Linked DNA regions of Oryctolagus cuniculus. The protein of the gene in region 2 interacts with the protein of the main gene of each other region in a biochemical or structural test. Links are inferred from orthologs where the notes say so. Each region holds a gene or a part of one and is shown on either strand. Other genes may lie near its edges.

Region 1 (3,500 bases), on a different chromosome or scaffold from region 2:
CGAACTTGCTCGCTCCGGTGGTAAAACTGCTCCAACCCTGAGAGGCACAGAATGGCAAGGTGGCCGCCTCACTGTGACCGCCCGACCCCGCTGACTGGCAGGCCCCGCTGACTGGCAGGCCCCGCATGACCGCCCAACCCCGTGTGACCGCCAGGCCCCGCGTGAGGCTCTGAGGACCACACCTGCTCACCGCCCGCAGCCCGTCTCTGCACCTCACTTTGAGTTAGTCTAAAAAGCCCTCCCTGGGCCGGCACTGTGGCACGGTGGGTAAAGCCACCACCTGCAATGCCAGCATCCACGTGGGCACCTGTTCCAGTCCCGGCTGCTCCACTTCCCATCCAGCTCTCTGCTGTGGCCCGGGAAAGCAGTGGAAGGTGGCCCAAGTGCTTGGGCCCCTGCGCCCATGTGGGAGACCCGGAAGAGGCTCCTGGCTGTGGCCTGGCCCAGTCGTGCCCTTGCAGCCATTTAGGGAGTGAACCAGTGGAAGATCTCTCTCTCGCTCGCTCCCTCCTTACTCTCTCTGTAACTCTGCCTTTCAAATAAATAAAAAAGAAATTAAAAAAAAAAAAAAAAAGCCTTCCCCTCGTCGAGGAACGGCTGCGCCAGCTGCACGCGGTGGCTGCCGTGGGCCTCAGAGGCGTCACCAGAGGGTGAGAATCCGTCTTGGAAGCAAAGTGCCCTCAGGGAACAAAGGTGACGCCGCGTCGCCGGCACCAGCACGGGCATCAGCCTGACCAGGCCTGGCAGTGACCGCGCAGCCGGAGGAGCCCTCCAGCTCTATCCCCCGTCGCTGTCACTCTGCCTGTCAAACACATCAACCTCAAGAACAAGAAACCCCAGCCCAGATCCGTGTCTTGGCTGGACGGCACTGGGGGCGGGGCAGGGGCCGCGCACCGCGCTGCAGCCGGCACCCACCGAGCACAGCGAGGACATGGCGCTGTTGAGGAAGTCGTCCTCTCTCTTCTGGGGCGGCACCGTGTTCCCAAACCCCACGTAGCGATTCTCCTGGGCCCTGAAAGCGAGCGCTGACGTCAGCCCGGCGGCTGCGGCACGGACCCCGACGCGCCTGCGCCCGACGGAGTGCAGGGGCCCACAGCCACAGCCGTGCTGTCCGTCTCCAGAAGGTCCCAGCCACCAGGACGGTTCACCTGGCGACTCCCTGATGGGCAGATTCCAGGGGAAGGGCCCTCTCCCTCCACTCAAATCTGGGCTGGCCAGGGCTCGCCAGTCAACCTCTAACCCCACACCCTCCACAGAGAAACCGGCCCTGCCCACGGGACCCCCAGCCGGGGAGCCCTCACCCCTGATAGGAGCCGAGGTCGTCGTTCAGCCAGTCCTCGAAGGCCTTGTCTGCGGACGCGGACGCGTTCTGAGTCTGCCCGGAGGCCCTGCGACCGAGAGCCAGTGACACCGACAGCCCCAGCAAGGCCACGGGCACGGCGACGGGGCTCGGGTCACACCGGCCCCAGCTGTCTGAAAGGCTGCTTGGGCTCAGCTGTAGGGGCCTGAGGGCCCCAGCACTGCGGCACCTGTGCTGCCAGCACCCCATCGGCTGCTGGGTCAAAGGGCACAACTACCCGAGTCCCTGCACCTGTGTGGGAGACCCGGACGGAGCTCCCGGCTCCTGGCATCAGCCTGCCCAGACCTGGCCGTGGTGGCCATCTAGAGGGTGACCCAGTCCCTGCACCTGTGTGGGAGACGTGGACGGAGCTCCTGGCTCCTGGCGTCAGCCTGCCCAGACCTGGCCAAGGCGGCCACCTGGAGAGTGATCCACGGTCTCTGTCTCCCTTTGCTGTTGCTCTGCTTCTCAATCTTTTTAAAAAGCACAGAGCTGGCTTCCCGGCAGCCCTGCACCAGCATGCGGCAGGGAAGAGGGGAAGAGAGGAAGGGGTGGCCCCAGCGCCCACTGCAGCCCCCACACAGGGCGCTCCCCGCAGCGGGACGTGGGATACAGCCACTCTGGGGTCAGCTCAGCGGTCACAGGGCCGCCCCGGAGGACGGCGACACTCAGAGGGACAGGGCGCTGGCGACACACAGCCCTGCTCCCCGGGCTGCAGGGGGGCAGTGTCTGTCTGGGAGGGAGAGCGGCGCCCACGCTGGGCAGGGGGAGACACTGCTCTCACCCCACTTATTTCGCGCCCCTGCTTGCTAAGGGCTCGTCCTGCTTTGGGCATTTTGGGGGCACCACAGCCACGCGGGGATCCTGAGCTGCGCCCAGGGCCGGGCCAGGAAGATTAGGGGCGTAGCTACCGGTGGGCAGTGGCCAACGACGTCCTGGGCTGGGGTGGGGTCCAGTTCTGGGCAGGTGACGACTCCAGAGACCACGCTCTGCCTTCAGCCAGGGTGGCCACCTGACGGGGAGCACGGGTGGTCAGGGTGTGCATCGCCTCCACGCGCCCCACCCTCCCCCAGGCCCCAGCGTCGCCCAGCGTCGCCCAGCGTGGGCCAGCGTGGGCCGTGGCCGCCTCAGTCTGGCCGTGCTTGGTGAACGGTGCAGCTCCAGCTCCAGAGTACAGGGACCCCACGTGAACTACGCCACGGCTCCACCGCTCCTCCGACGTCCTGACCCGAGAGGAGGGGCGGCACCGCACGCCGCAGTTCCTCGTCGCCCCTGCAATCGCGGCCCCGGGCCGCCCACTGCCCTGGCCAGCCCCACGGCCGGCGCGTGAGAACTTGCCTTGTCCCTGAAGAGGGCCGCGGCCCTGCTCTCGTACTTGTCCTGCAGGGACCAGCAGGGGTCGTAGTCGGCCTGGGACTCCAGGAACTCCCGGAACTTGGCGTTGCCCCCGACCTTCATCTTCTCCAGCTCCAGGTCCTTCCACTTGTCCATCGTGACCGAGCGCACGAAGCTGGAAGCCGGAGGTGGGCACTGGCCTCATTACCAACCGGGGGGCGTGCGGGGCGACCCCCGCCCCGGCCCCCCCAGACACGGGTGCAGGCGGGCACTGACCTGAGGTGCACGCCCAGCCCGCGGTGTCTCCCCGAGCACTCTAGGCAGATCCAGATGCCGTAGGTCACACTGACCCACTGCGGGTTGAAAGCGCCACACTCAAAACAGACCTGCAGAGGGGGCCACACACGGCTCGCCGGGGGCTCGGGGCAGGCCAGAGAGCCCGACGCCACACACAAGGACCCCGGGGGAGGAGGGAGGCCCAGGCGGCAGGCAAGCCTGGGCGGGGTGGCCGCTGATCCTGCCAGGAAGCCGGCACGAGGGGCGAGCAGCCCCAGGGGAAAGCGTCCAGCAGGAAGGCCAGGCAGACGGCCCCGGGCGACAGGAGGGCCGTGGCCCACGGCAGCCGCAGGCGGCCCCGACTCACATTGTTCTCGTCCCGCACCCTGACCTCCTTCAGAACTTTCCGGGTCCTCGGGCTGGCCATGACGCTGTGGAGACAGAACGGCCCCGTGACAGACCCACACGCGGTCCCTAAGTGAGCCATCGGCTCACGACACTTCACACCTGCCCCTTCACGAGGCCTCTGGCCCACCGCGAGCTGCCCAGG
Region 2 (4,239 bases):
TGTACCTGCCTGGCTGACACAGGGAGAAAACCTGTGCTGTTTTCGTTGTTGAAACTGCAGCATCAACAACGGCTCTGCAGAAAGATGCAGTCACCGAGCTTGCAGGAGCTCGGCGGAGCGTGTGTGAGCCAAGACCATCTCTGGCAGAGCAGCAGAGGTAACAATCGATGCATTCATCCAGCCCATTAAAAGCTTATCTTCCGAAGAAGGCCCCTATTCTGCACAGCTACTGCGCAATCACATCAGTAGCTTCACTTTAGGATAATGATCCTATAAACCCAAGCATCTCATCAGTGCACAATGGAGTGCAGAGGTTAGCAAGATTGTAAGCCACTTTCATTGATTCTGCGCCCCCTTTTCAGTGGCTGAGACTGTGCGGATAAAAAGTAATACTGAGGAGCAGAGAGGAAATGAACGGCAGCGAGAGAGAACTTGGCCTAGCTACCAGGTCTCCCAACAGTCATCTACTTAAAGCATTCGTAAAATACACAAAGGTCCTGAAGAACTCAGAGCCTGCAGTGTCACATTAACGGGCTTCTGAGAAAGCCCTTTTGGAAGAGTCAGGCACCTAACTCCTTAAATATGTACTTGCAGCAGGTGAAGCATTCAAGTCTTCTGCGCCGACAGTCAAAAAAATCTGGTGAGGGAGAAACCTGCTTTTACGTGGAGAGGCCCCTTTCCACATCCCTCAGATAAGACCACCTAATTCAAACTGATGTCCTGATGTCAAACCACTGAGCCTGTGCCTGGCACGCATTCTGCAGTTACTGCAGCTCAAGACGGAAAGAGAACCTGGGGGTGCGAAAAGTCTCAAGCCCCCAACTCTGAGACCCCCAGGGAGTCTCATAATGTCCACTGAGCTCCCGCTAGATAAGATACCCAGCAGGAGTTCTCCGAGCAGTGAGACCCTGTGAGAATCAAAAGGTGCCATGTCCATCATCCCTTATTTACTGTGCACCACGCTTTGCCTCTGGTACTCTGTGCAAAGACCCCGAGGGACCTGCCTAACGACCCCAGGCTCGGGCAGTTTCTCAAATTAACAATCAGGGACTATGTTCCTGGCTCCCTTGGGCTTCCCAGAGCAGCACTCCTCCCCACAGTGCATACCCAAGGCTGTGCAGGATCCCGGGGAGAGAACTGGGAGAGAGACTCCAGAACACCCAGCACATGCTGGAAGAAGGGTGGTGTGGGTGACAGCAGCAAGCACCATCAGCCAGCCCCTAACAACTACCCAGACTCGAGAGCTAAAATGAGGACTCTCTTGACCACGCCTGCCCTTCCCTCTGGGTTTGGTTTGACAGCAGACAGAACATCAACTGTCAGATGGCAAACACTTCGCCATTGAAAGAAAATAAACATTTACTCTAGATGTAAGTGTTCTCATAGGAAGCAGGCAGATCCAGGGCCCAGGGCTCATGCAGAGGAGCTGCAGGTACAGAGACAGACCCAAGGTGGAGAGACACTGCCATTCTCCCAGCTGCAGCCTGCCAGATCAGTGCGCGGGCCCCTCCCCCCAGCGACCTGACCCGCGGGGCACAGGACTGCTCTCAGTTCCCCAAATCTCAAAAGCTGCACAGGACGTCATCACCTTGGGGAGTAACCGTCCTGGGGTCAACCACTCTCAAGGCTCACTGACTCCTGCCTGAACGCCCCGAAGGCCTTCGGCGCCTTTCTGGGTTCCCCCATGCTGCAGGGTCTCGAAGTTTCACTCCTACAGAGGTTTTAGGTCACAAACCTTAGCGAAGCACCAACTCAAACAGGTGAGGCAATCAGCAAACATCACTTCCTTTAAATCCTACAACGCAGCCCGAATCTCACGAAGGCGCGGAAGCCTTCAGACTGGAAAGAGCAGCCGCGGAGAGCCAGGGCGCAGACCTCCAGCCGCCTAACTGCGTCTGATTGCCGTTCCCTGCGCCCCTTGGTCAAACTCGCCCTTCCCAGACGGTCTGGTCTGGACCGCGGCTGCACGTGGGGGAGCCGTTCAGAGGGGTTCCTCCCAGACACGACGGGGGGCTGGCTCCTCCTGCCAACAGCAGTCCCCGCGGCCACCCAACCCCTGCAGCCAGCTTTGGGTAGCGGCTTGGGAAAGCGGACTGGAGCGTGCCGGGCCCTCAGCCCGTTAAGTCAAGCTCAGGATCCCCCAACAATGCCTCCAGCCTCAAGACAGCCAGCGGTTCCGGAGGCCAAACCTCGGCTCGGCCCGGCCCGGCCCGGCCCAGCAGCCCCGGGGATGCGGCCTCCCCGCCGGCAGGCAGGAAACGTCGGGTTCCCAGCAGAAGGAGTCGCGGGGTGGGGTAGGGGGGCGCCCTCACCTGCTGCACACTCGCGACCCTCATATACGAATCCAACACGATCAGCAGAGGCACGTGGAAGCTTTTGCCCCGAAACAGCCTTGAGGCTGCAAGACAAGAGGGTGAGGGAGGAGAGGCAGAGTCAGGGCCCCTGGCGCTCTGCGCCCCGGGGAAGGCCGGGCGGCAGGAGCGCAGGAGCCGGGACCGGTTCGGGGCGCAGCGAGGCGCAAAGTTTGCGCGGCCGCCTTACCGCGCTCCGAGTACGTGAACACGAGCAGGTCCTCCAGGGTCTGCACCAGCGTCTCGACCTGCTTGCCCTCCTGGACGTTGTTCAGCTTGACCAGCAACTTCTTCAGACTTTCCTCGTCCTCGTCGCTGCCCTGGTTGCTGCCACCGCCACTGGCCATGGTGGCTCGGGCTGCGAGCCGCCGCCCTCCGCGCCCCGAGGAGGCCTCCTGCGCCCGGGCCGGCCCCGCGCGCCGCCCTCCGAGGCCCGCCGCGCCCCGGCCGCACGCGCGCGCCGCCCACGGGGAAGGCGGCCCCGCCCGGCGCGGCCCTGCCTCTCCCGGGCCCGCCTCCCTCTCCCGAGCCCCGGGCCCGCGGCCTGCGTGGGGCTCGGCCCAAGCGTGGATCCGCGGCCCGGCTGGGGCGCGCCCACGCCCGCGAGACCCGCCCTGGCGGCGCCGGATCCCGTAGGCAGCGGTGGCGGCGGCGCGGCCGGAGCCCACGGCGACCCCACCGCGGCCCGCCCGCCGGAGGTCTGCGCCCTGGAAAAAAGGAAAAGCGAAAGCCGGCGGCCTGCCGACCTAAGAATAGAATCCGGGCGTTGGGCGAAGGGGACGCGGCCCAGCCTCCCGGGTCGGGATCGCGGCCTCGGGCTAGGGGATGCGCTCTGCCCCAGGGATGCAGCGGTGCGCGGGGAGAAGGGCCCGGCCACCCTCTGCCGTGGCCGCGGCGGGGGACGCACCATGCGCTTCCCCGTTGCTATCGCGAGCCCCGGGGCTCAGGAGGCCCCCAGAAACCAACTTGCGAGCTTGAGTTTGCGGCAGGCGGCACCGTGGTGGAGGGGACGCCGGGCAGGGTGGGTTCTGCGCGCCGTGGGAACCGAGAGAAAGACGGGGAAGTGAAAGGAGAGGTGAGAGACCCAAACCTCAAGTCTGTTTGCTCAGTGTCCAGAATGACTCTGTGGGCCTGTGCGTCTGCGGATGGAAGGCAGGGCGGCCTCCGGGGGTGGGAGTGGGGGGTGGAGGCTGGGGTCCTGAGAGAGGGAGAGGCTGGGCTGGAAGTTAGTGCTTCTCCGTTCCCATATCGGTGGCATTTTACATTTTACTAAAGAGGAAGCTGGGGGCTGGAGCTGGGGAGTGGGGCTGAGCCGAGGTCCCGCAGGTGCGCACTGGGGAGCCCGGACTCGCCCCAGGTGGACTGAGGTCTTCCCAATTCCCGCCTTAATCAGAGTGGGCTTCGCTTTCCCAGTGGATACCTTGAAAATGCCCCTTGAATGTTTCACACACAGGCCGGAGCGTTTGTGGTTGAAATGACGGAGCGCTCAGGTTTGCTCCAGAGTCCCCCGTGGGGAGGGGAGGGCTGGCACGGGCGGAGGCAGAGGTGGGTTGATCCCTGTTGAAGGGAAGAGAAGCGTTCGTGCAATCTATGGTACTTCTCTCTCTGTATAAGATTTTCCAAAAGCGACAGACAGCGCCTTGCACTCCTTATCAGATCTCCAGTGTGTGCTTTTCCAATCGGCGTGGAACCTGTCTGAACTTCCGGCCGCAGAGGCAGTAACTGCGCTGTCCCTAGGAGTTCTCCCTCTGTGCCCTCCTCCTAATCCCTTTGCACCAGGTGCTCCCTTCCCAGACCACTGGATTACCACTTGTAAGAAGCCGGCACTCCGTCAGCCAGCCTGTGAGCAGGCCCAAGGCCTGTGGCTTCTCTTGGGAGCATCCTCCCA
Region 3 (4,187 bases), on a different chromosome or scaffold from region 2:
CTTCCATAGGCCCAGCTCCAGCAGTTGCAGCCTTTTGAGGAGTAAACCAGCAATTGGGAGATCTTTCTCTCTGACTCTCCTTCTCTCTGTCTGTAACTCCACCTTTCAAATAAATAAATAAAATCTTTAAAAGAAAAAAAAGAACCCAATCATGGGTCCAGAGTAGGTGATCAGTGGGACAGAAATCATAACACTTGGACCCCAATCTTGGCTCAGACACCATATGTCCTTAGGTAGGTCCTTTCCTGTAAGCGTAAGCATCAATGCTTTAAGAGGGATATACTAGACAGAGAGCCTCTGAAGTGCCTTTCAGGTTAGGATTCTGTGGTCTTAACGGGAATGACACAGTTATTTTCTATAAAATTTAACAATTCCTTGGGTCTAACAGGATGGAAAATTCTCTAATACTTCCAGTCCATCAAAATTCAAGTCCTTTCTTCCAATTTCGTTCAAGTTTCAGTAATTTGCATAGGAGTACCTTCACTATTCAGGTGCTTCTAGTACCCTAGGACTGATCCCAAACAACTCATACTCTAATCTCTCCCCACACCCAGGAAAAAAATCAGCACATCATCTTCTTTGCAACTTTTGACTGAGATGGGATGGTTAAAGCAATTTTGATGCAATTTTCAGGCTTATCAAGTCCTGTTTAAGGTGGGATATTGGGGCAGGCATTGTGGCACAGTTGCCACTTGAGAGACCTACAACCCATTACAGAGTGCCAGTTCAACTCCACTTCCAATCCAGCTTCCTACTAATGCATCTGGGAACGCAGCAGAGGATGTTCCAAGTACTTGTGTCTGTGCGACCAATATGGAAGGTTCCAGGATCCTGGCTCTAGCCTGGCTTAGGCATAGGTATTGTGAATACTTGAGGAGTGAACCAAGAACAGATGATCGCTTGCTCTCTCTCTCTCTCTCTCTCTCTGCCATTAGAATAAATAATTTTTTAAAAAAAGAGTGGAATATCTCAGAATTGAGAATGAGATATTCCATAAGGAACTGGAGAGCAAAGTCTACTCCCAGAGATCCACCCATCTATCTGTTCAGGCAAAATCACACCTTCAGAGGAGTCAGAAGTCAACCACAGTGAGATAGGCACAAAGAGAGATTAACAGAAGGATCTGTATAATATTCTGTGTTGGCAGTGACAGTGGATTCCCAACAATTTACAAAACCATTTTCTCATTTTGTTGCCAGAAGGTTTTTGGAAGTAAAGTACAGAAATGCCCTATGTCATAAAACCACCGGCAATTTAAAAGAGATGGTGGAAGTGCATACTTGTTGAAAGTGTGGTGTTTCTGAAGGACAGAGTTCTGGAGAGGCAAGAATGACCTGGCAGTGAGGCCGGAATATGACAATATGGCAACGAAAGCTCAGCACGCACCCAAAGAACTGCTCTCCCCACTCTCCTCTCATCCCCAGGGTCTCTCCACCCTTCTCAAGGCTCCTTGTCACTGTCACAGCTTTACTAGCCTTAGGCAGTCCTAGGGAGACAAGTCTGGAAACACTGCATAGTCTAGGCCAGCTCAACAAGCTGCTTGGCCTAAGGGACTCAAGCCAGGATGCTCACCAGGCCTTCGTGAACAAGGGAAGGGCCCCAGCAGCCATTTGGCATGACTTGCACAAAAGCAAGCAGAGCTCATTAGTCAGGCACACCCCTCCCCCGCCCCTCCCTCCTGGGCATCCGGCCCCCCTAGGCCCCACTCCCAGGAGGCTTCTGTTCTTCTCATAACAGCCAGTGGGGTGGATCAACCACCGCTCTAGAAAGGTGTGGCCCCACAGCAGAGAACTCACACCTCTCAGCACAGTCTGGAGAGGACAGAGAGGCATTAAGTAATGGCAAGGGCAGGGATTTGGTGGGTGGAGGGAAGGAGAAACCGGTCTTCTCTCCCAGGAAGTGGCGTAGGCCTCTCCTCAGTCTGGTCCCTAGGGAAATGTTGGCGCTCCTGGGTACATGGGAGCAACCTAGATGATGAACCCCCACATCTTTCCTCTCAGTGGGAAACAGCTGGAGCCACCCGGGGAAGCTGTGGGGAAAGGTGAGTGGGGGTGCGGGATCCGCCCTGAGCCGCTCCCTCCTTCCACCCAGTTTCCCAGGTTCCCATGCCTATCCAGGACTGGGGCAGCCTTTCCCCAGAAACGCGCCAATTCCTGGGCAGGGGAAAGTGTTCTCTTCTGAACCACAGTCATCCCCCCTGCGTCCGCGGCCCTTTGGGGGAAGCTGGAGACCCTAAGCCCCCAATAAAGCCTTCCTCAATGCCGCATCCCCGACGCAGGAAAGTGGATCTTCAGAAAAAGGCCAGCCCCGCCCTTCCCACACTTCCAGCCTGGACACCCCCTCAACCCCGAGACCCCCCTCGCCTTCCCTCCCCTCCCCACCCCAGGCCATGGCTGAGGGCGCGGCGTCCCAGAAGGACTGGTAGCCGGCCAAATCCCTGGCCACCAGCAAAGGGCTACGAGGGTCTGCGGGACCGACCAGAGGTCGACAGCGCTCACTCCCGCACTCACCGTCTTGGGCATGGTGGCGGCAAAGGCGGCGGAGTTGGCGAAGTTTGGCTGGGAACTGTCGGGCAGCGCGGAGCACGCAGTACACACCGCTCGGACTCGTGGGCTCGGGGACTCGAATTGGGTCCCTCTCTAGCGTCGGGGCGACTGCTCGGCTTCCTGCTAACGGGCCACGACTTCATAAACCCCACCCAGGAAAGAGCCGCCCCCGTCGCACCGCCCGCTCCTTTATGTGGCCCGGCTTCCGCGCCGCTCCCCGCCCTCGCGCCGCCTCCCCGCCGGCCGCCGGCTTCGCCCCGCCCAGCCCAGCCCGGCCCAGCCTGGCCACCCCGGCCACGTGGGGGGCCGAGCTGAGCCCTGGGCAGCCCAAGGGGGACTCCCATTCCCGACTCAGACCCACCCTGCCGTTCTCCCAGTTCAGTTCACTCAAAGCCCCTAACCCTCCAAGTCCCGGCCATCCGGTCCCGACTCCGCCCCCATTCGGGGCTAGACCTTGGGCCGCACCCTGGCAGTTGCTTACTGCAATCCCTGACTGCAACTTTCCACTGATGGGCAGCTCACTACCAATCAAAGCTGCTTGTTCCGTCTCAAGACAGACTCTTAAAAAGTTATTCCTGTGGGTGTGCCTCCCATCCTTGATTCTCAGCTCTGCTCCCTAGGGCTGCAAGGTTATCTCCTGCTATCCCTAAAAGATCCCATATCTCCAGTAAACTGCTATTCTCCGGAATAAACTGCCTCAGCCCCACCAGCACTTCTGTCAGACTCTTCCCATCATAGTTCCTCCCCATTCTTGTTCAGTCCTCATTTTCATCAGAATTTAGCTCCGTATCTGTCCTCTGCCCACTTGCCTTCCTCCAAATCCCAGTCTCTACCTTCTTCAAATCAGTGCCCCATCCTTCAGCCCCTCCCCTAACACATTCACTTTTTGATGAGATTATAATTCCCTCAGGTGAGATGCAGCCCCCCCCACACACACACACCAGTATCTTGGAGCTTGGAGTATTTCTGTCAGTTCCCTTTATAGTTCTTGTCAAGGTCACAAAGTCCCAGGACAGCAGTATTCTAGACTGCGGGAGGACTCTGGCTAAGTCCAGGTTAAAGGAACTGGCCATAGCCCTTTTTCTCTCTTCTCTAGCGTCCGTGCAGAGGAGTGATCTGAGTATCCTTTGTGAAAGCAGAAACTCCAACTCGCAGGGCTTGTGAGCCATCTTGGGATAGTGGAAAGCACAATTGAGAGGGGTAGCAGGACACCTGGTTCTACTTTCCATTAACCCACTCTGACCACTGTGCACTCTTGGTAAGTCCCTTCCCTTCTCTGGCACCGAGTTCCCCCTCGTGTAACAAGAAAGGACTGGACTCCTGGGTTTCTAAGGTCCTTTCCCACTCTGATATTATAAAAGGATGAGAAAGGAAGTAGCCTCCCTAGTACAATAGATGAGCCTAGCTAGGCTGCATAAAGATTGACCTTGGATTTGCACTCACAAACCAAGAGTCCTGTTCCCTCCTCCTTTGCTTTCCCAGCTTAATGGGGTCCATGAGTCAGTGTGCCTCAGTTTCTCTCACTGATGCCTAGATTCATTGATGTGTACTAGGAAAAGCAGCGTTTCTAGCCAAGATCACTTTCTTTAACTGAGTATTTGTCAAGAGAATGATCAGCACTCCAGAGAAAGCCCACAAGGA
Region 4 (4,256 bases), on a different chromosome or scaffold from region 2:
GCACAGCGCAGCGGGCACCAGGGGGCTCTGAGCGCCCAGGCCCCCTGGTGGGGCGATGTGTGCGAGCGCCACCGTGCACGCGCCCAGGGCCCCGGCCGCCCCCAGCACACCCTGCGGCCCGCGCTCCACGCCACCACGTTCTCTCTGGGGTCCGTGTCAGTCCCCCCCCCCCGCACCCCGCGGACGCGGGAGGAAGTCAGGGAAGGAGCAGAGGGGCCTCAGGCGTGGGGCCGGCGTCCCAGGGCACCGTGACTCCTCTCGGGGTCACAGCCACAGGCCGGGGACAGGAGGCGTCCAGGACGTGGCCTCTCGCAATCTCGACTCGGTGGCTCTTCCTGTTTCCCCTGCCCCCCAGCGCGAGCCGGCCACGCACCCCGGCCCCTTCCTCGCAGGGAGGCCCCCTCGCCAAGCAGCCAGGGGACACGGAGGAGACGGTAGCCCTCCCTCCCCCGTGCCCCACGTGCAGCGGCCCCAGCGTCTGCCACTCACCCTCCTGCGCCCGCCCCTCTGGTTCTCACCACTGGCATCACCCAGGTTCTCGCGAATCCCGCAGGACGCAGGGGCCACCTCCCACCCCGGAACCCCGACGGCTGAGGCCCAGGCACTTTGAGGAATGGGGTGAGGGTCGGCAGCAGAGGGAGAAGCCGACCGGTCGGGCGAGGCCAGGAACGCGGCCTCTTGGCGCCTGAATGAGCTCCATCGGTCCCATCTGCATTCCAGCCCACGAGAAGTGCGAAGGGGCAGCGACAGGTGCGCCTCTCTCCACGTCCCACTGGGTGGAACCCAGTCAATGGCCACCCTGGGACCAGAGCCCAGGGGAGATGGTGAGGCCAGCAGCACCGGGCAGCTCTTCCTCCAAGCCAGTGGGCGGGCCGCTGCCCCAGGGCCTCTGCCCAGTGCGCTCCGCGGGGCTGCCACTCAGCCGCCGCCTTCCCGGCTGGGTCCCCTGCAGGCCGTGGACGAGGCTGGTGCACAGCGTGTCCGCAGCGCGCGCTCCAGGCAGGCAGCGGTGGGGCTGAGCCGGGCGGCGGCCGGCGGCCAGGCCCCACTGCCCCAGTTACCACGTCTTTAAATTTAGCTCCCCGCCCCCTGCCAGGGGACTCCGCGGGCTCCTTCCAGGAAAAATGCAGCCAGTGCCCGCCCCGCCACCGGATGGAGGCTGCCTGAGCCCCCACCCCCGCACACATCACGGCCCCCGCGCCCCCCTCCCCCACACCCCCGGGGTCACGGCCATCACCCTCCAGGCACCAGCCGGAGCCGCACAGCCTCCGACCGCGGGGCCTGGCCCATGGCCCGCCGGCACCGAGGCGAGGGGCAGGTGACAGGCGTCCGTCAGGGCGAGCTCCGAGCCCCTGCTCCAGGGCTGCGTCCCCGGGCACGGGACCCGCAGGTGGGGCGGGCAGAGCTGCACGCCCATCAGCGTTTGGAAGCCCCCCCAGCGGCGAGCCCCTTGTCTTCCCGACCTCCGCATCTCCGGCTCGGTCCTCTCGGCTCCCGGGAGTTGGTAATCGCCAGGGTTTCAGGCGTCTGCGGCTCCGCCCCCGACCCCCCCCCCCCGGCTGTGCACGGGCCCGTTTTTGGGCACGCGAGGCCCTCCCTGCCCTCCCTGTGTGCGTGACCTGGGCCCTGGGCCCGCTTCCCCGCCCGCCTCTTGGAAGTTTGCGGCCTTTTCTGGCGCCCTGGGGGCTCCGTGGCGTGTGACAGTGGACACTGCTGGCCTCCCTGGGTCCGACACCCAGTCTTGTCGCCCCCCCCCCCATTCATCTTTTATTCTACTTTGCGGACTTTTTAAAAAAATTATCTGAAAGGCAGTTACATAGAGACCGTCCATCCACTGGTTCACTCCCCAGATGGCCGCAGCGGACAGCACTGGGCCAGGAGCGTCCTCCGGGTCTCCCACGTGGGTGCAGGGGCCCAGGCGCTTGGGCCAGCTGCAGGGAGCCGGACCGGAAGTGGAGCAGCCGGGGGTCTCCAACCTGCGCCCACGGGGGCAGCCGGCGGGAGCGGCGGGTGCCCGCGCCCGGGGCGGGGGGACTGCGAGGGGGCCGCGCGCGCTCTTTGGGACGGCCGTTGTGCACACGTGGGCTGCTCGCCCAGCGCCCGGGCTGGCGAAATTCGCAAACCTCCTCCCCTTTGGGGGGCGGCTCACGGCCATGGGATCCCAGCGCCCAGCAAGGCATGCAGGCGGCCGGACAGGCCACGCTCTCCACGCGCGGGACGTGGACGCCCACAGCGCGGGGCGCCCAGCAGGGGCGAAGCTCTGACGCTCGCTGAGCGCCCCGAGGACGTCTCAGCCCGGGAGAGAAACGGGCAGAGGCCACGCGTGGGCTTCACCCACGGGGCACGTCCAGGACAGCGGGCGCGCCGTGGCCGGAGGCTGGGAGGGGCGCTGCAGCGTTCTGGAAGCAGCGCTGGGGCGGCCCGGCCCGGCCGTGGGCCTTCGGGGAGCGAGCTCGTCTCCCTCGCCCTGCCTCCCCAATAAATGCAGAGGGCGCTGGAGGGCCTCGCGTTTCCTCCTCTATCTTCCTGCTTGTCGGGTTTTTTACGGACGGGGGCGCCCCTCGCGCGAAGCCGCCACGCCGGCCTCCAGCCGCTGCCCATCTCCCGCCCGCCCTGCCCGCGGCCCTCCCGGCGCCGGCCCGCTCACCTGCGGCATCTCCGCGGGCGCCGAGGCGGGCTACGCGGCACCGGCTGGCGGCATCGCCTCCCCGGGCCGCGCCTCCGCGGGCCCGCGACCTTGGGACGCAGCCGCCGGCTCCGCGCTCCCGCTTCTGTCTCCCGCACCGCCCGCCAGCCGGGCTGCAACCCCGCCCCCACGCACGCGTCATCCCGCCCCCACGCGCCGCGTCGCCTAGCAACCGGCTCCCCGCCCGCACCCGCAGCGGTCGGGATTCGTGGCGCCGGGCCCGGGGTGCCCGCGCTCCGGAAGGCAGACACTGCTGCAGCGGGGGCCGGCGCGGGGCAGCAGGACGCGGGGGCTGGGGGCGGGGCCGAAGCCCGGCGGAAGCTGCTTATTGGGGTGTCTGCCGGCGCAGGGGGCGTTAGAACGGCAAGTCCAGCCTCGGGCGGACTGTCCGGCCGCGGGCCCTAAGGAAGCCAGGGGGCTCCGGGTGGGGAGCGCCGAGCGGAGTGGTCGGGCCGCCCGCCGGGGCCGGGGTGAACAGGGAGGGCTGCGGGGCTCGGGCACGCCCGCCCTCCACACAGAGAGCCCGCTCCGGCCCCGCAGGCCTCCCGGCGGTGTGGCCGCGTGCCCGACTTGCAGCGAGGACAGGGACAGCCCCGGGCAGAGCCCCTGGACTCCCCCCGACCCAGCCCAGCCCGCACACAGCGCACGGTGGCGGCTGAAGACGTCTCCTTTATTGCCCCGGCCCCCGGGAGCCGCCGGGCCCTGTCTCAGGGTGGACCCTGTCCCAGGGTGGGCCCGCATGCGCGTCCCCGGGCCAGGAACGCTCGCGAGGGGCGGCCGTGCCCGCAGCGGGGCGGGAGCTCCCACCCTGGGCAGCCCTGACCTCCAAGGCACTCGGCGGTGCGGGGTGGGGCCCGGCCCGCGTCCTCCCCCGGCCTCAGCCACCCCACCCCGGGGCAGGGCGGCGGCTGCGCCCCTCATGGCGAGTCCGCGCCGGGCAGGGGGCAGGGCAGGCACGCAGGGGCCCGGGCAGGTGCCGCGTCTCCCGGGCGAAGCGCGAGCGTTGAGAAGAGCCGGGGGCGGGGCCAGTGTCGGGGCGGGGCGGGGCCAGTGTCGGGGGCGGGGCCAGTGTCGGGGGCAGGGCCGGGGCCGGGTGGGCGGGCGGGCGGTTGGTTGGCTCAGGCGAGGCCCTGCGCGCCGGGCCGGCCGCGCTTCTTGTCGGCGTTGGCGGCGGCCTCCCTCGCCTTGCTGGCCTCGCGCTCCCTCTTGCGGAAGCGGACGCCGGGCCTCCTCTTGGGCAGCGGCAGCGGCTCCATGCCCAGGACCTTGTGTATCTGGCGGAAGACCAGCATGCGCAGCGCGTGCTGCGGGGGCGCGCCGTCAGGGCTGGGGGCGGGGGCGGGGGCAGGGGCGGGGGCGGCCGCCTGCACCCCGGCCCCGCCCCGGCGCGCCGCCTACCTGCGCGCTGGCCGTCACGTCCTCGCGCTGCTGCGCCGTCATGGGCTCCAGGGCGTCCATCGGGTCCTTCTCGCAGGGGTCCTGCAGCCCGGGGCCGTCTTCACCGGGGAGGGGGCGGCAGGGAGAGCGAAACCGGTGACTGCGCGTGCGCGGGACCCCCTAACCCCCCCCC
Region 5 (3,500 bases), on a different chromosome or scaffold from region 2:
TTCCTGTTCATTGAAATCAGAATGTGAATAGATAACATCTGTTTCTTTTCTTCTTTAGTCTCTTTTGGAAAAGTTCTTGATCCCTAATGCTTCACAAGCAGAGAGCAAAGTCTTCTATTTGAAAATGAAAGGAGACTACTACCGTTACCTGGCTGAGGTTGCTGCTGGTGATGACAAGAAGGGTATGGTGTTCTCAAACCTGTTGTTTGGATTTCTGTAAAATAACCTAGTGTGGAAGCTGTCTCTTTGAAGTGCAAATTTTTGTTGATGTTGTTAATTGGTTAGAGGTACTAGTAAGGAGCCATAATGCTGTTGGGCTTTCTGGAGTCCTGAGGATATGTATTTACAGCCTGTTACTAGTGTTCTGAAATGTATACTTTCTGGGAAGCCAGCTTTGCATACAGGATGTTTCTTCAGTTTAAGAAATAGTGGCCATAGCAAAACTGGTTTAAAACAATGTAGCAATAATGAGATTACACTGATTTGATCTTGAAATTAACCAGTGGCCAGTGTGGTATCTCAGGAATATTCAATGAAAGATTTGATTTGAGGGGTGAGAATGAAGTACAGACTTTTTAAGTACATTTCAGTGTGTTTTATTACTCAGGGATTGTGGATCAGTCACAACAAGCATACCAAGAAGCTTTTGAAATCAGCAAAAAGGAAATGCAACCAACGCATCCTATCAGATTGGGTCTGGCCCTTAACTTCTCTGTGTTCTATTACGAGATTCTGAATTCCCCAGAGAAAGCCTGCTCTCTTGCAAAGACAGTATGTATTTTACCTATTATGTGGACAGTTAGCAAGCTTTATTATTACATTTTATTATTTGAGCACTGAAACACTTCTTTTTTTAACATAGGCTTTTGATGAAGCCATTGCTGAACTTGATACGTTAAGTGAAGAATCATACAAAGACAGCACGCTAATAATGCAGTTACTGAGAGACAACTTGACAGTAAGTACATGGCATATCATTGATGACTCATGCTGAAAAGATTGTTATTTTACTACAAGGAATATTTCTGACCTTTTTTTTACTAGGTAGATTATCCTATCTACTATTAAAACCATATGAAGAAGAAAACTCCCTTCTATAAACTGAAATATTACATGAAGAGATAAAAATGTACTGCATTCCTTTGATTAGTTGCAAGTCTGTTGTGAAAATTTTAATTCTCAAAATAATTTTGTGATTCATGGTTTTGGACTTAATTCACATAGGCTGTTTATTTTTCATTTTAAGTCCCTCATTCTTTCAATTTTAGACACAAAATGCTCTACAAAATGTGAGTGGAAATTGTTTTGCCTGGTTTCTGATTTTAAAATGGCTAATTTATGGGAGATCATGATCTTTTTGTTATAATCCAGATTTTAAAAAGATATTAATGATGTTATCACTCCAAAAAAAAATAGTAATTCTTTAATAATGTTAAATCACGTTGAAATTCGGAGAGCAATTGAATGATCTTCTGTCTATTGGTTTGCTCCCCAAATGACTGCAATGGTTAGGGCTGGGCCAGGCTGAAGCCAGGGGCCAGGAGCTTCATCTGTGTCTCACATGGTGTCAGGCGCCCAAGGACTTGGGCCATCTTCTGCTGCTTTCCCAGGCACATTTGCGGTGAGCTCGATTTGAAAGTGGAGCAGACAGGACTTGAACCACCACTTATAGAATGCCAGCATCGAAGACAGTGGCTTAAGCCCCTCTGCCACAGTGCCAGCCCCTAAATTCCAATTTTCTAAAAGTAGTTTGATAAATGAAGCCCAATGTGACAGTTGGTTTACATGTGTCCTTGGCTGCTAAGGTTTTCCCATTCTTCTCCTTCAGATAAATACTAAATTTAAAGTTTTGAGGCTTAAGTGAAAAAATGGCCAGGCATCTGCTATGTGTCAGGTAAAGAGGTAGGGATTGGTGATTGTTGTGGGGAGCAACTCGGACTAGACTAAGTTACTGGAATTAAGACTTATTCTATGCATCTGCTCTCCCACAATATGGCGCTGGGAGAGGAGGAGACAGCTTCTACACAGCTGCCTCCAGTTCAACCAATAAACAGCAGGACCTGCTCCTGATTGGAGGAGAGCAGCGTACTCGGCGTGTGGGTAGCAGAGTTGGGATTGGTGGAAGAGGACTATAAAGGAGGAGAGAGACAACATGCACCGGGAACATCTATCTGAAGGAACACCTGTGCAGCCCCCGAGAGAGCCGGCCGGCGGTGTGCCGCTCCCCCACGGAAGTGGGGAAAGTGGCTAGGGGGAACCGCCCTTCCACGGAGGTGGAAGCGATGGTAGCCAACCCGGGAAGAACCAGCAGCAAACCTGGGGAGGGCCGAGCAGACAAAAGAACAGCGCAGGGTCCTGTGTCGTTCCTCCACGAAGAGGGGGAGCGACAATTGTTATTATTGTTGATACGGGTTTGTTAGCTTTAGGGCCATTTGTCTTGGGGGCTATTATACCTTTAAAGTTTTCCAACTTCATGCTAGTCCACTGCCAATATTCTGTAGAAGAACAGTTCTATATTCTAGAGTAAAACTTGTCTGGAGAAGAATTATTAAGAATTTTATTTTTTAAGCTAGTAATCTTGCTCATTTTTAAAAACTTTTTTTTTATTTAAAAGGTAGAATGACAGAGGGAAAGAGAAAGATCATCACTATATTCCTAAAATTGTGCTTATGGAATACATGAAGTTTGTAAAAAGTTTCTTTGCAGGGGTAGAAATAAAAGTTAATTAAAATAAAAAAAAGAAAGAAAGAAAAAGACCTTCCATGCACTAGTTCACTCAAAACGGCCACAACAGCCAGGGCTGATCTGGGCCGAACCCAAGAGTCAGGGTTCCAGTCTGCGCGCCAGTGTTGGATGCCAGCCCCTTGAGATGACATTGAAAAGGTGGAGCCTAAGACTTAATTGTTGTATTCTCATCACTAATCATTACAGGTTGATTATCTGTTAAGTAAAGAATTTCGCCAAAGCCTAATTTGTACTTGAATCTGAATCTGGTTGATCATCATCACGTCACCCTGGAAAGAGAAATGCCCTGTATCAAATCCTTACATGTTTATATGGAGAATTTCTAGCGTCCTTTAAGAGTAGAACTAGAAAGACACATTAGAGACAATTTCCTGTTGACTCACAAAACCCCTTGTTTAATAGGACTTGCAGTCTCCAACTGGCCATTAGTTTTGTGAATTTGAACATTAGTCTTCTTTCCAGGCTATACATATATTTAATTAGTAAACAAATGAAGTTACAGATGATTTGGGAAAAGAAAGTACTTTGCAGGGTTTTCTCCCCACCCTTTTCAGTGTGTAAGTCAAATGAAATTTAAGATTACCTTGAGTTAACATTTAAATTATCTCTGATAACCACTGTAAAGTACTTTTTTAAAAAACTATTTGTATATTTATTTACTTATTTGAAAAGCAGAGTGATAGAGGGAGAGATTGATCAGTTTTCTATCCACTGGTTCATTCCCAAAAAGCCTACAGTAGCCAGGTTTGGACCAG
Region 6 (3,597 bases), on a different chromosome or scaffold from region 2:
GCAGCCACTGTGACCGGGATGTGGTGTCCGCGTGCCACAGCGCCGGCCCCTCAGCCATGCCTGACCGTGATGTGCCCGCGTGCCACGGCGCCGGCCCCTCTCAGTCCTGTCTGGGATGTGGTGTCCGCGTGCCACGGCGCCAGCCCCTCAGCCATGCCTGACCGTGATGTGGTGCCCGCGTGCCACGGCGCCGGCCCCTCTCAGCCATGCCTGGGATGTGGTGTCCGCGTGCCACGGCGCCGGCCCCTCTCAGCCATGCCTGGGATGTGGTGCCCGCGTGCCACGGCGCCGGCCCCTCTCAGCCATGCCTGGGATGTGGTGCCCGCGTGCCACGGCGCCGGCCCCTCTCAGCCATGCCTGGGATGTGGTGCCCGCGTGCCACGGCGCCGGCCCCTCTCAGTCCTGTCTGGGATGTGGTGTCCGCGTGCCACGGCGCCGGCCCCTCAGCCACTTCCAAGCGCACACTCCGGTGGTTACGGGACCCTGACCCAGTGCAGCCCCCGTGCGGGGTTGGGGCACCCAGGGGCCTCCGGGGTGCGGCCACGCAGTCCAGCCGTGGCTGCCCGGCCAGCGGGGCCGGCGCCCTTCCCTGAGCAGCAAGTCCCTGTGGCTCCTTGCTTTTTGGTGTTTTTTGCTTGTTTTGAGATTTTATCCATTTGAAAGGCAGAGTCACGGAGCTTTGCCCCCTGGGTCACCCCCCAGCTGGGCCGGGCCAAATCCAGGAGCCAGGAGCTCCGCCCGGGTCCCCCACGCGGGCACAGCCCCCAGCACTCGGGCTGCCCCAGGCCACAGCAGGGCGGAGCAGCCGGGGCTCCAGCCGGGGGCGGGCCGGCCACAACCCACGTGTGCCACGGTGCGGCCACGAACCCCTGTCCCCACCATCTGTGCGTGGAAGTGTGGGCTCTGTGCACCCGAGCGGATCGCTGATCAGACGTGGCTCGGCTGGGAGGGGTCGCGCCACGTCCTTCGCTGTCTGATTCTAAGAGGGACGCTGACCACGCAGATGTCCACCACGGCCGAGGCCGGGCCGGGCCGGAGCCGGCAGCCAGGGGCCCTGCGTCAGCAGCAGTGCTGGCGTCACGAGTGGAGCTGGCGCGTGGGTGTCTCAGCCCCAGCGCGCGCGTGCACGCGACTCCTTGATAATCTGCCTGTCCATCTATGCTGGACACCGGCCACCCAGCGCTGCAGCTGCTAATGTCACGTGGTTGTGTCCGGCTGGATCCGTCCCCTCCCTGCCACCATGGCCCTCTGTCTGGAGTCCGACCGCCTACCAGGCAGCGGGGGCTCCAGTTGGGTCCGCGGTGCCCCCTGCAGAGCCGGAACCAGAAGTCCTCTGCAGCCTGCAGTCCGCCCTCCGAACAGCAGAGGGCGCGCGTCCGCCGCAGGGTAGGCGGAAGCGCGTGCGCGCGCACGGCGAGAGGCGGGGCACGCAGGCGGCCTCGCGATAACTGCGCGTGCGCGAGCTGCACGTCCTCTTCCGGGAAGCCGACAAGATGGTGAGTGGTGCGCGCTGGCTCCTCCGCGGGGAACGTATCGGGCGCCATCCGCGCTCTGCGGGGACCGCAGCGGGGTCCCGGGCTGCCGGAGGGACTCTGCGGGTCCCCAGGGCCGCCGGATGAGGGGCGCGGGCGGGTGCGGGGCGACCCGGGGCGGGGAAGGTGCGAGGCGGCCGGCTTGTCCCGGCTGAGCCGCCCTCGGGGGTCTCCGGCCTCCGCTGACCCCCGGGCCGGCCCGCGCAGGCGGAAGTCGAGCAGAAGAAGAAGCGGACGTTCCGCAAGTTCACCTACCGCGGCGTGGACCTGGACCAGCTGCTGGACATGTCCTAGTAAGCGGGCGGGGCTGGGGCCGGGGTCGGCGAGGCCGGCGCGGCGCGGCGCGGCGGGGAGGGGGCGGGCGCCCGGGACGACCCTGCAGCTCTGGCCGGGGCTTCGGGGGCCGGCGTGGCGGGGAGGACTCGGGGCTCAGGGAGCCGGCGTGGCGTGGCGGGAAGGGGTCCGGACGCCCGGGACGACACCGCGGCTCTGGCCGGGGATCGGGGCTCGGGGCGGGGGTCCGGGGTCGGCGAGGCCGGCGTGGCGTGGCGGGAAGGGGTCCGGGCCCCCGTGACGACCCTGCAGCTCTGGCAGGGGCACCGGCGTGGCGGGAAGGGGTGTGGGCGCCCGGGACGACCACGGGGCTCTGGCCGGGGCTCCGGGGGACTCGGGGCGGGGGTCGTCGTGGCGGGGAGGACTCGGGGCGCCGACGTGGCGTGGCGGGAAGGGATCCGGGCGCCCGGGACGACCCCGGGACTCTGAGCGAGGGTCCGGGGGGACTCGGGGAGCCGACGTGGCGTGGCAGGAGGGAGTCCGGGGCTCGGGACGCGACTCTGGGCGGGGGCTCGGGGCGGGGGTCCGGGACTCGGGGCGGGTCCTGGGGACTCTGGGCGGGGGTCCGGGGTCTCGGGGCGGGGGTCGTCGTGGCGGGGAGGACTCGGGGCGCCGACGTGGCGTGGCGGGAAGGGATCCGGGGCTCGGGACGGGACTCTGGGCGGGGTCCCGGGGGGCTCGGGGCGGGTCCGGGCTCCGGTCCCCCGCCGACCGCGCCCCCCGCCCGCAGCGAGCAGCTGATGCAGCTGTACAGCGCGCGGCAGCGGCGGCGGCTGAGCCGGGGCCTGCGGCGGAAGCAGCACTCGCTGCTCAAGCGGCTGCGCAAGGCCAAGAAGGAGGCGCCGCCCATGGAGAAGCCGGAGGTGGTGAAGACGCACCTGCGGGACATGATCATCCTGCCCGAGATGGTGGGCAGCATGGTGGGCGTGTACAACGGCAAGACCTTCAACCAGGTGGAGATCAAGGTGAGCGGGCGGGGCGGGGAGTGGGGGGCCGGGGCGGGGATGGAGGGGGCGGGGCGGGCCTGACGCCGCAGGGGGGCCGGGCCTCCCCCTGCCCGCCGCTGACCCCGCCCGCCCCCCCCCCCCCGCAGCCCGAGATGATCGGCCACTACCTGGGCGAGTTCTCCATCACCTACAAGCCCGTGAAGCACGGCCGGCCGGGCATCGGCGCCACGCACTCCTCCCGCTTCATCCCGCTCAAGTAGCCCCAATAAAGCGCGCTCCCGCGTGGCCGTGGTCTGCGTCTCCTTCCTGGCGGGCGGGACCCTCGTCCTCACACCGCGTGTCCCGTGCGCCGCTGGGCAGAGCTGACAGGATCCCGGGGTGGGCGCGGGCTGCCATCCGCGGCGGCATTGGGGGGGCGGGTTCCGCGTGGACGTGGAGCCACGGGGAGGGGGGAGGTCCCGTCCTTCCCGGCAGGAGGGGCCAGTGGCAGGTGCGATGCGGCAGGCCCCGCCCACTGAGGCCGGGACCTCCTGGCCGCAGCCCCGCCCTCGCCCCGGCTGCCCCACTCGCGGGCCCGTCCCTCTCGCGGGGGACCCGGAAGAAGCCCCCGGCCGTTGTGGGCGTGAGGAGTGAGCCAGTCCCCGGAAGACCTGTCTACCTCTGCCTTTGAAATACACACAGTGCTGCCTCGTGGGGAGCGGCCCGCTGCGCGTCCCAGGGCTGCCCGGCTCCCGCCGCTGCCCCGGCAAGGGGTGGGGGGGATAGAGTCGGCGCCCGGGGCCCAC
Region 7 (3,500 bases), on a different chromosome or scaffold from region 2:
TGCCCGGGGCGTGTGGGGCATTGGCTCACCTGTGTCACCCGTCTGCCGTTGTTTGGGGAGGCCCTCGCTTCCCCGAGTTCCCGTGTTCCCCTGTTTACATTATCGTGCGGTGTCTTCTGGTGATGGGTTTGTAGTGTGTTGGGGGTGCTTAGTCTGTCTGAGCCTCACTTTGGGAGTTTTGCTTCGCTCTGCCAAGGGTGGGTGGTACCCCTGAGCCCTGTCCCCTGCCGCCAGCCTCCTGTGCCTGTCCCAGTGCCAGGTCCTCCCGCACAGCTGCTCTCACGTGAACTTAGGGTGCGTTTGCAGGCCCTGTGGGTCAACAGGAGGTGTAGGCTGTGTTGTCGACTCTGCGCCCGGCTCAGGGGACGGTAGATTGCTGTGAGTGGGCTGTAGCCACCAGCGTGTGTCCGGGCGCTCGGGGCCTTCCCTGTGCTGCTGGCCTCCGTGTCCAGCCAGCACCTGGCGCTGTCTGCAGGGGCCTCGTGCCCAGCCCTACAGCCTGCGCGGCTGAGACGCGCTCCAGTGCCAGCCGTGCTTCCTAGCTCCAAGTGTTCCTCTTTCTCATTGCAGCTATGCCAAGGGCGACCTGGACATCTCCTACGTCACCTCCCGCATAGCCGGTATGTCTCAGCACAGCTCCAGACGCTTGGCCTTGTGGGCAGCCACAGATTTACCCGAGAAGTGCCCTGGGGCCTTGTCCTAGAGGGTCAGCCTGTGTCCAGCACAGTGGACAGAAGTCTGAGTTGAGGGAGGGAGGGACACACAGCCAGGCCTGCAGCACCCGGTCTCCTGTGGGTGTCAGGCTGAAGTGGCCTGTGCTCAGAAGCGCTCCCCAGGAGTCTTGGCGGCTGCTTTGACCCGAGCTGGTCAGCCTGGTGACAGCTGACTCGTCTGTGCCGGGCCAGTGGTGCAGGCTGCTGTCCATGGAGAGGGCATGGGAGGCTGCCTTGCTGGTGCCCCTGCTGTGGCCCGGCTGAGCTGGCACTGCTCACTTTGTTCAGTGATGTCATTCCCGGCGGAGGGCGTGGAGTCGGCCATCAAAAACAACATAGAGGATGTGCGGCTGTTCCTGGACGCCAAGCACGCGGGCCACTACGCCGTCTACAACCTGTCCCCCAGGACGTACCGGGCCTCCAAGTTCCACAGCCGCGTGAGTGCTGGGCTTTGTCACGCTGCAGCAGTGGTGTGGCCGCTGCAGCTTCAGCTGGGGGCTCTGGTGGCTGGGGCTGCGACAGGAGCCTTGGAGGAGCAGCTGGCCTGGGAGGCCGGGGGCGGTGGCAACACTGAAGGCTTCCCTGCACCCCGAGGCTTCCGTGGCAGAGACGTGGCCTGGGCTGTGCCTGCAGCTGCCAGGAGCCCCAGTGCCAGGAGTCAGGGAAGACCGCACTGTGTGGGGGCGCCGGGCTGAACAGAGCCTCCCACAGGTCTCTGAGTGTGGCTGGGCTGCCAGGCGGGCGCCCCTCCTGCACAACCTGTACAGCATCTGCAGGGACATGCATGGCTGGCTCCGGCGGGACCCCAAGAACGTCTGTGTGGTGCACTGCACGGTGAGTGCCGGGCGGCCGTGCCGCGTGGGACTCCCTGCATTGTTGGGCTCTACTAGGTGTTCTTAACCTGGGCGTGGTGTGGAGGAAGGTGTCACCAGAGTACAGCCCTGCCTCGGGGAGCCCAGGGCCTGTGTCCAGGCCGCAGCTGGGGGCCCCATCCCTGCGGGCAGAGCCACTGTATGCGGAACTCCCATGGGGAGGGACGGCCCTGTGTGGCCTACACAGGGGCTGCTCGGCCTGTCGGCCCCTGCCCCTGCCCCTGCCCCTCCTTGTCTGGGGCCAGGGGTAAGTCCTTCCTCCAGATTTCCTTCCTGCGGGCCAGGGTCAGGAGTGAGCCTCGGCTGCTGGGGGTCGCGGCTGTCAGTCGGGTGTGCAGATGCGGGCCAGGGTCAGGAGTGAGCCTCGGCTGCTGGGGGACGCGGCTGTCAGTCGGGTGTGAAGAAACCTGAGGCTGGCTTCCTAGAACAAGCGTGGAGGCTGAAGCTGAAGCAGCCTTGTGCACGCGCGCACACACACACACACACACGCACACATACACACACACATGCAGGGGGAAGGACTGCGTGGCAAGGGCTGGGTCTGGCGGCCCCTCATAACCACTCCCTTGTGAGAGCTGACTCAGTCCCCAGGAAGAACCCTCTCCAGGATCCCCTGGGCCACTCTGTGTGGCCACAGTGGGCTGGGCTTCAGCTTCCAGCGTGTGGCTGGTGGCTGTGGTGCAGCAGAGCCAGTGGGGGCTGGTGGGCTGCGCTCCCTGCTGAGGTCTCGTTCTCTGTGGGCTCGGCCCGTGGGAGCCCCACGTGGCTGGTGAGGAAGTCTGCAGGAGGCATGCTAGCCCGCGCCCACCGCCTGTCTGTCCATCAGGATGGGAGAGCTGCGTCCGCCGTGGTCGTCTGCGCTTTCCTGTGCTTCTGCCGCCTCTTCAGCACCGCGGAGGCCGCCGTGTACATGTTCAGCATGAAGCGCTGCCCGCCGGGCATCTGGCCATCCCACAAAAGGTAGCGTGTGGCCTCAGCACCGTGGCCTGAGCTGCTGCCCTCTGCAGGCCGAGTCTGCGCCACAGCAGTGCCGACTCAGCTGCAGACTGGAGCCTGAAGGGCCCGGCAGGAGTGGGCTACGCGTGGCAGTCGGCTGGGGCGCCCAGCCTTAGGTGGCCGGCTGTCCGGCTAGCTCCTAGGCCCGAAGTTTTCCAGCAAGCATCTGAGCTCGGCGTGGCTGCTGTCCGCCCCACAGAGCCCACGTGGCCTGGGAGATGCTGTGTGAGGCTGTGCCGTGGACCCTGCGTGGGCAGATCACCTTGGAGGCAGGGGTGTGTGCCACAGGTAGCGCGTCTTCTCTGTGGGTCCTGTGTCAGGCTGGGTTCGCAGGCGGTGCCCACGTTCCACGGCCACCCCAAGTCGTGTCTGCCCGGAGTGGGCTCCCACAGCGGCCTGGCTCCTTCCTCGCAGGGACACGTGGTGTCACTCCCACCCTGACAGCTGGCACGGCCTCCCCCTGCCGAGGCCCCGGGGCAGACACGGCCAGACGCTGCATTGCAGGCCGAGTGTGCTGCCTGGGGCTGCCGCAGGCGGGCGAGGCCGCGTGCTGCTGAAAGCTCGGAGGGCGCTCGCGGGGCGGTGGAGGAGGCGCTGTCCGCACAGCGGGGTCAGGGCCCCGGGCAGGACTGGGGGCTGGGATCCAGTGGAGCTGTTTGAAGTGAAGGCGTGCTCACGCGTGAGGAGCGCCTTCCCAGGGCTCCTGGGACGGTTGGGCAGTGCTGGGGGTGAGCCGGGGCGTGCAGTGCAGTGCCGCAGCCCTCACCGGGCCCAGCAAGAGCGGCAGAGCCGCAGGAGCTGCCTCCAGCGGCCACACGTGCAGCTGCAGCCAGGAGATGTACAAGGTGGGAGCAGAGGAAGTAATGGCTGACAGGTTTCCCAGAGGAACCACACGTTCAGTCACCAGCCCAGGAGGCCG

The links.
Region 1: of the proteins of LRRK2 (region 2) and ARFGAP1, one has a biochemical effect on the other in vitro, tested with the Homo sapiens proteins (3 studies listed by BioGRID and IntAct, with this or other methods). The link is inferred for Oryctolagus cuniculus from reciprocal best matches to the Homo sapiens genes LRRK2 and ARFGAP1.
Region 3: of the proteins of LRRK2 (region 2) and MSN, one has a biochemical effect on the other in vitro, tested with the Homo sapiens proteins (9 studies listed by IntAct). The link is inferred for Oryctolagus cuniculus from reciprocal best matches to the Homo sapiens genes LRRK2 and MSN.
Region 4: the proteins of LRRK2 (region 2) and MATK interact on a protein array, tested with the Homo sapiens proteins (2 studies listed by BioGRID and IntAct, with this or other methods). The link is inferred for Oryctolagus cuniculus from reciprocal best matches to the Homo sapiens genes LRRK2 and MATK.
Region 5: the proteins of LRRK2 (region 2) and YWHAZ interact on a protein array, tested with the Homo sapiens proteins (3 studies listed by BioGRID and IntAct, with this or other methods). The link is inferred for Oryctolagus cuniculus from reciprocal best matches to the Homo sapiens genes LRRK2 and YWHAZ.
Region 6: of the proteins of LRRK2 (region 2) and RPS15, one has a biochemical effect on the other in vitro, tested with the Homo sapiens proteins (2 studies listed by IntAct). The link is inferred for Oryctolagus cuniculus from reciprocal best matches to the Homo sapiens genes LRRK2 and RPS15.
Region 7: the proteins of LRRK2 (region 2) and GAK interact on a protein array, tested with the Homo sapiens proteins (3 studies listed by BioGRID and IntAct, with this or other methods). The link is inferred for Oryctolagus cuniculus from reciprocal best matches to the Homo sapiens genes LRRK2 and GAK.

What each region holds. Positions count from the first base shown.
Region 1 is NC_091442.1:567,002-570,501, forward strand, and holds part of ARFGAP1 (ADP-ribosylation factor GTPase-activating protein 1), read right to left. Parts: intron 3,382-3,500; 5' UTR 3,378-3,381; coding exon 3,318-3,377; intron 3,061-3,317; coding exon 2,951-3,060; intron 2,850-2,950; coding exon 2,678-2,849; intron 2,352-2,677; coding exon 2,251-2,351; intron 1,389-2,250; coding exon 1,302-1,388; intron 1,013-1,301; coding exon 916-1,012; intron 38-915; coding exon 1-37. UniProt on the Homo sapiens protein: GTPase-activating protein (GAP) for the ADP ribosylation factor 1 (ARF1). Involved in membrane trafficking and /or vesicle transport.
Region 2 is NC_091440.1:131,746,094-131,750,332, reverse strand, and holds the start of LRRK2 (leucine-rich repeat serine/threonine-protein kinase 2), read right to left. Parts: upstream 2,801-4,239; 5' UTR 2,699-2,800; coding exon 2,542-2,698; intron 2,399-2,541; coding exon 2,313-2,398; intron 1-2,312. UniProt on the Homo sapiens protein: Serine/threonine-protein kinase which phosphorylates a broad range of proteins involved in multiple processes such as neuronal plasticity, innate immunity, autophagy, and vesicle trafficking.
Region 3 is NC_091453.1:45,583,947-45,588,133, reverse strand, and holds the start of MSN (moesin), read right to left. Parts: upstream 2,801-4,187; 5' UTR 2,523-2,800; coding exon 2,511-2,522; intron 1-2,510. UniProt on the Homo sapiens protein: Ezrin-radixin-moesin (ERM) family protein that connects the actin cytoskeleton to the plasma membrane and thereby regulates the structure and function of specific domains of the cell cortex.
Region 4 is NC_091447.1:59,377,422-59,381,677, reverse strand, and holds the start of MATK (megakaryocyte-associated tyrosine-protein kinase), read right to left. Parts: upstream 2,801-4,256; 5' UTR 2,648-2,800; intron 1-2,647. Other genes in the region: ZFR2 (zinc finger RNA-binding protein 2), read right to left, coding at 3,805-3,990, 4,085-4,182.
Region 5 is NC_091437.1:126,339,366-126,342,865, reverse strand, and holds part of YWHAZ (14-3-3 protein zeta/delta), read left to right. Parts: intron 1-58; coding exon 59-182; intron 183-607; coding exon 608-771; intron 772-862; coding exon 863-958; intron 959-3,500.
Region 6 is NC_091447.1:58,779,087-58,782,683, forward strand, and holds RPS15 (small ribosomal subunit protein uS19), read left to right. Parts: upstream 1-1,278; 5' UTR 1,279-1,493; coding exon 1,494-1,496; intron 1,497-1,739; coding exon 1,740-1,825; intron 1,826-2,595; coding exon 2,596-2,830; intron 2,831-2,958; coding exon 2,959-3,072; 3' UTR 3,073-3,097; downstream 3,098-3,597.
Region 7 is NC_091433.1:225,045-228,544, reverse strand, and holds part of GAK (cyclin-G-associated kinase), read left to right. Parts: intron 1-570; coding exon 571-620; intron 621-1,001; coding exon 1,002-1,150; intron 1,151-1,424; coding exon 1,425-1,547; intron 1,548-2,411; coding exon 2,412-2,545; intron 2,546-3,500. UniProt on the Homo sapiens protein: Associates with cyclin G and CDK5. Seems to act as an auxilin homolog that is involved in the uncoating of clathrin-coated vesicles by Hsc70 in non-neuronal cells. Expression oscillates slightly during the cell cycle, peaking at G1.